Linked DNA regions of Saccharomyces cerevisiae S288C. The gene in region 1 interacts genetically with each later gene. Each region holds a gene or a part of one and is shown on either strand. Other genes may lie near its edges. The genes, in order: YKL162C and YOL131W.

Evidence for each region.
Region 2: mutations in YKL162C (region 1) and YOL131W together harm fitness more than expected from each alone (negative genetic interaction), as found in Saccharomyces cerevisiae (one large-scale study listed by BioGRID).

The regions. Positions count from the first base shown.
Region 1 is NC_001143.9:146,889-150,711, reverse strand, and holds YKL162C (type II protein arginine methyltransferase), read left to right. Parts: upstream 1-1,873; coding exon 1,874-3,082; downstream 3,083-3,823. Other genes in the region: putative protein kinase KDX1, read left to right, coding at 25-1,326. UniProt on the Saccharomyces cerevisiae protein: Arginine methyltransferase involved in the assembly or stability of mitochondrial NADH:ubiquinone oxidoreductase complex (complex I).
Region 2 is NC_001147.6:70,804-73,969, reverse strand, and holds YOL131W (uncharacterized protein), read right to left. Parts: upstream 940-3,166; coding exon 613-939; downstream 1-612. Other genes in the region: GAS4 (1,3-beta-glucanosyltransferase), read right to left, coding at 1,255-2,670.

The DNA.
Region 1 (3,823 bases):
TATCGAAGAAAGATTCACAATTAAATGGCGACTGACACCGAGAGGTGTATTTTCCGTGCATTCGGCCAAGATTTTATCCTAAATAAACATTTTCATTTGACAGGTAAGATTGGTCGGGGCTCACACAGCCTTATTTGTTCTTCAACTTACACAGAATCGAACGAGGAAACTCACGTGGCTATCAGAAAAATACCAAACGCGTTTGGCAATAAACTATCTTGCAAGAGAACTCTTCGTGAATTGAAACTACTAAGACATTTAAGAGGGCACCCAAATATAGTGTGGCTCTTCGATACTGATATAGTATTTTACCCAAATGGGGCACTAAATGGCGTTTATTTATATGAAGAACTAATGGAATGTGACCTTTCTCAAATTATAAGGTCCGAACAACGCCTGGAAGACGCACACTTTCAAAGCTTCATATATCAGATACTGTGTGCTCTGAAATACATACATTCTGCTAATGTTTTACATTGTGACCTGAAACCAAAAAACTTACTTGTTAATAGTGATTGCCAACTAAAAATTTGTAATTTTGGGCTATCGTGTAGTTATTCAGAAAACCACAAGGTTAACGACGGCTTCATTAAGGGTTATATAACCTCGATATGGTATAAAGCACCAGAAATTTTGCTGAATTATCAAGAATGCACAAAAGCTGTCGATATTTGGTCAACAGGCTGTATCTTGGCCGAACTACTTGGTAGGAAACCAATGTTTGAAGGGAAGGATTATGTAGATCATTTGAATCATATTCTACAAATACTTGGAACACCACCTGAGGAAACATTGCAGGAAATTGCCTCTCAAAAGGTGTATAATTATATCTTTCAGTTCGGTAATATCCCGGGAAGATCGTTTGAAAGCATACTACCTGGTGCTAATCCAGAAGCGCTTGAATTGCTAAAGAAAATGCTAGAATTTGATCCTAAAAAAAGGATTACTGTAGAGGATGCACTAGAGCATCCATATTTGTCAATGTGGCATGATATAGATGAGGAATTCTCATGTCAAAAGACCTTTAGATTCGAATTCGAGCATATCGAAAGTATGGCGGAATTAGGAAACGAAGTTATAAAGGAAGTATTTGATTTCAGGAAAGTTGTTAGAAAACATCCTATTAGCGGTGATTCCCCATCATCATCACTATCTTTAGAGGATGCCATTCCTCAAGAAGTTGTACAGGTCCATCCTTCTAGGAAAGTTTTACCCAGTTATAGTCCTGAATTTTCCTATGTAAGCCAACTTCCATCACTAACTACAACCCAGCCATATCAAAACCTTATGGGAATAAGCTCTAATTCATTTCAGGGTGTTAACTAAAAGGAAAACACCTTCAAACAAGATACTAAGCATGAAAATAGTGAACTACTGAACGGACCTACTGAGCCAAATATAACAAAAATGAGCCCAGTTTCATCGTCTCCCCCAGGTCACGATATAAATGTCAATGATGGTACAAACCAAAATACAAATGAGGATGACAGCGATTTTTTCTTCGACCTAGAAAAAGAACTTGAATTATTTAGACGATAAATTTTTGTAGCAGAAAACCACAACTAATAGATGCGCACATACACTATCTATAATGAATATGTAAAATGCCTGTTCACCTTCTTAATTATTGGTATATACTTCAAATATTGCAAAAAGAGAAAGTCCTCTCGGCGGTTTTGCAGTTCCTTCCGAAAGCGGGAAAAACCAAAATGTGAGAAAGTAGGATACACCATTGCGTAGATTCGCGATGATCCGAATATAAACATGATTCCCTCGTCAGTCCTCTCTCAAGTTTTCTTTCCCGTTTTAAATAGCTTACTAATATTTTCACAAAAAAGTTGATATCATTTAAAGGTGCTTTTGGCGGGATTGAATGATGAAAAGATTACACCCCTTGAGAATTCAAGTTCATCTGAAATCTGATTACCCACTGTTTACTTTCGAGCAATTACTCTCTACAAATGGGATAAGAAGAGGCCAAACTGCGAGAATTTCTTTGAAAGATTACATAGAGTGGCAAAATTTCCCAAACATAATGAAAAGAGAAAATTTTTTTACGCAAAGGAAGCCTGTAACTACAACCGCAAAAGAAGAACCCTTTTCATTTGATAACATTCTTGACTGTGAGCCACAATTTAGCAAATGCCTTGCCAAATGGCTACTGGTTAATTACAAATTAAATGACTATCCTTATTACGATCTTAACATTGTGAATATTTACACGGATTTACCCCAAGCAATTCAGATTTGCAAAAATTTAATGTCATATCTCAAGTCTACTTTATCTGATAACATGTTCCAGAAAATAAAATATTTCATGGTACCTCTATACAAGTGTGACAAAATACCTTCGAAGCTCTTAGACGGAATACCTGGATCAGTCAGTTTGGTACAAGATTATCCGGTTTCCCCATATTTTTTACAGAAAAAATTTCACATAGAGGATCCAATCCAAATTTTGATGCTTAATGATGTTATAAAATACACAACCCACGATTTAGTAAGGTACTCTTCAGATGACAAAGGGTGGCAACAGTGCTTTGTGGATATCAATAAGAATGGACAAAAATCCAAGAGCTTTGATAGCGCCATTGACTACTCATGTGAACTTGCATTAGAACAAATGTTCAATGATCGATCCCATGTAAGTCCTGGTAAAGAACTTTATATCCCCACTAAATTAATTGAGATATTGATGACAATCAAGAATAATATTCCAGAACATAGACTTTTCATTGTAGACACCCCGCAAAGATCGAGCCCAACAATAATATCGTTATTAAAGAGTTTAATAAGCCCACGGCCGACGGGATCTAGCCAGATAGTACAGCCATATTCGGATTCAATATTTTCAGACAAACGGAGTGGAAGAATATGCTTCATGACGGACTTCTTACAGTTACAGAACATTTATAATGGTATTAACAGTTCTTCTAGTAGCTGCGAAGTCGAAGACGTTGCTGATTTTGTTGAAAAATGGATTAGCCCAAGTGAGAGAAGCACACTTTCGTCGCAGAATGGAAATAGGCCTCAACTAGAAGACATAAAAAATAGCTCTTTGGCGGTGCTACACTCCACGTGATTTCTTTTATTTCGTTGAATTAAAATGAAGACGTTTTTTACAGTAAGCGACCTTAATCTTTGTTTCTATTATCTACACTTTTACGTTTAGTATATTCATTTCATAGGCAGTAGGCATTCTTTTAAGAAAAACATAGCGCGCATATCTTCTCCTCTTTTGTTTCGCAACTCCCAAACAAGATATCAATTTCCCACCACTCTAACGAATGCGAATAGTAACCCCATATTTAAATAATACTATAAGGGTATTCGTACGAGGTAGGATTTTCAGTAGACCAAATAGCCTTCAACGACATCATAAGTACACACTGAGTCTAAGCATTGAACTTTCATATGAATATATGGGACTATAAGAGATGGGTGTGAAGAGAAAGACAAATTTGGGTTGAAGAGTTATAATTAGCCTTATGCAGGTCTCGCTCGCATATTCTTAACTCAATAGGAGCAATTTCTTCCATAAGCTTATATCCATATCCGGTCATTTTCTTCATTTGTGCCTGTAAACGCATATGATTTTTTTTTCTTAGGCACGTTCTGCGTGAAAATTTCCTGTTGCGGATGAGTAAGGTGTTCGTTCTACTTCAAAACTCCGTCGCAAATTTAAGTTTAATCTTGTAAATTGCCTAATACGTCATACGTCAATACATGATTCGCGTTCTTTTTTTTCCATCTTGCTAACGCGAACCTAAACGGTGCGACAAAAAGCCACTGGGCTTAATCGCTTAACAGAGCTACCGATTCT
Region 2 (3,166 bases), on another chromosome or scaffold:
AAGAAAAAAGGAGGGGTAGCATTTAGCATATTAAGGATCATTGAGTCCCATGTATTACGGCAATTAAATGAGTAGATGCTGCCAGAGTACTGAAATTTTTAGGCAATTTTTGGCTTTAGTTGTGTCTACCGCCAGTTGAATGGAGCTATAAAACAAGTCTAGGTGAACCTACGCTGACATTTTGAAATTAATCAATTAAAATCAGTTTTTGATACATGCGTTATGTAATCCTTAGCGTAGAAGACCCTACTTGTTTCCTATAGAGGAAAAGGTTGTATATTTTAGAGATTCGTCCATTCAAGGGGTTGCATATAGGGGGGACATACTATAACGGAAAATACTAGTTCAAAGCGTTGCCCTCGAAAAAGAGACGGAGGAGTACGTAGAACAATACATAAACACACAATATACCATCGGAGAACAACAAGTTGTTCCAAAAAAGCAGTCGTCCTAGAGTGAGGCTATCATAGCGTAGACGCCTAAATACTTAACACTCTCAAACAAAAGTTCATCTTACGCATTTCATAGCTTGGTCAAAGAGTTAATGAGATAAAATCTCAAAGATTAGTAGAAAAGTTAGGATCGGAACTATTTTGATTCGGTTCTAATTTCCTAGTATTGCGAATCTACCGTGTTCTCTTCATCCTCCCCCTGCGATGAGCTTGGTGGAACGGGAGGGGGTGAATCCAAACATTTAAAGCCTTGAATCAAGGGCACATGTTCTTCCTCCAGGTCAGGGCTAAATATTCTACACCTAGATCGCTCTAACTGTGATTGCGCGTCATTTATCTTTATCTCTGGAAATACCTTTGTTTCCATGCGAATCCGTTTGGCAACTTTACTGAGGTTGAACCTTAAGTTCCATACAGAATGTGCTAGTTCTGCTCTTTGCAAAACCTTATCTTGGACTTCGTCTTGTGCTATCTTATTAGTATTCATTCTCTGTCTATCTTATCTTCTACGACTACTACTGCCAGGTCTTTATCTAAATAAGAAGTGGCAAAAGGATACTTAAAAGCTCGGCGGCAAAAGTTTCTCGGCCACTAATTTACCCTAATGGACTCGTACTGTGCATATAAAACACATATCATACCGAGTAAAGAAGTCACCCCAAGAAGAACTTAACTGGAAATTCCTGCATAGCGTTATTTCAGAGAGTGTTATAGGCTCTGATTTTTATCACGTTTAGCAATAGCCATAGTCACTTTTTTAAATATGTATTTACTCTTTAAAAAGGGAGAACGACATTAAAGTCTAAAAAAATAAACTAAAAGTAAAAAAAAGCAAACACAACCCAAGAGGTAACAATGGGCCGGAAATAGAGGCAGAATTCCGGTGTTTTCGTTTTAAATCATCTTTGTCTTCATCTGCGTCTTCTTGTTCTTCTCCTTCCAGGTCTGCCAATGTCAGGCTTTGCCTAATTTCAATCTTTTTGGGCCCATTCCATCTGTCACCATGCTTGTCTAAAATCGTGACATTGGTGGACAGCTGATCCTCGTGAATATCTATGTATTTGCCTTTTTCAACTTTCACGCCTTTTTTTATCAAAGAACTTCCTAAATTTTTAGCAATTTTAGATTCAATCTTCAAATTTTCATAATCTTCCGCACATGATGGCGTCTCCTCCATCTGAACAGTTTCCTTTAAAGTCTTCATAGAAGGAAACTCAATGTTTTGGTAGTGCGATTTAAGCTTCTCAAAATCTGCTAAGAGCTGTACTGAATCATCTTCTTGATATTCAACTAACCCATAATTATTATCCTCCTGTGAAAATTCGTAAACCAGACCTCCACAGAATACTGAATACATCTCCTCAGAAAACAAATAACCTATTTCCTGGAATTGCCTTGGCAATACTTTATTGCATCCAAATTCTGAAAAAAAAACTGGCTTGGAATAGCTCCTGTAAGCATCCACCAATGTATCGTACCCTGAAGTTTGCATAGTTTGTTGGCCACACCATTGGTAGGAGTTAACTCCGTAAAAATCAACGCTATTCTCTGGCTTATCATCATCTTTACACTCCAAATATTCGGACAGTGATACCCTATAGTTCAGGTCATCTGCAGCAGAGTAACCTACCGGAATTGTTCTGGGCGAGTGTGCGCTTATGTAATTCTTCATAGTTCCAATCAACTCCTTGACATAGGCAGGAGAATATTGTGCTGATCTTTTGTCGTTTACAATTTCATTCCCAGCAAAAAATCCTAAAGTATTATTGTAATGAGAAAATTGTTCGACAACCTTGAAAACGTGTTCTAAATAAACTTCATTATAGGTAGTCCAAGGTTCATATCTGTTTAAGTGCTGGTTTTGCAATGGGGAATTGACATCCAATATAAGATAGATACCTGCCATTGCGAGCATAGTCATGCACGCATCATGGTTCAGGTCCGGGTTTATAGAATAAATTCTTACTGTGTTTATTCCCAATTCTTGAAATAATAAAATATCACGAGCGCATGCATCTGGATTGGATAACGGATCCTGCTTTTCACTAACGTCGGAAGAGCCTCCTGGCTGATAATCCACACCTTTGATGAAGAATGGTTTTCCAGTCACTGTGTCAACGAAATGCTTGTCCTTAATTTGAATGGTGTGGACTGAAGCTTCACACAGTACAACTAACTCCAAAATTAGAAAAATAAAGGTGCTCGAAAAAACCATCATGCTCACGATTTTGTTCTTTTCTGCTTTATTTGTAGCGTTCGAGGTAAAATATATTTTTTTATTTTAATACTGCTTTACTCAGTATCCTATTATGTGTCGTTTTTTTGTGCCGCTACCTCAGTCTCACCTTACAATACGGAAAAAAAAGACTATTGGCAATTTCTTTACCCAACATAATTACCACTAAATTATTATAAGTGAACTTTTGGCCTAGTGTTTGTGTATATATATTTGTCCTTTGGAAGGGCAGTGATCGTCTTTAAATGTTTTAAACAAAAGAAGTATGTAAAAGCAGCCTGATAATAAATGTGCTCTTAAAGAGTCAAAATACTACTAATTTTTTAGCGGCTATATAGAGGTAGATTATGAACAAGGCTAGGATGATTTTGTTCTGTCACCTTTGTGGATGTCTTATTCCTACCCCGAGTTACTAACGAGATAAACAAAAAGGGTGCATACAACTCGATTATGCTATGTATATAACAAAATTCGACGT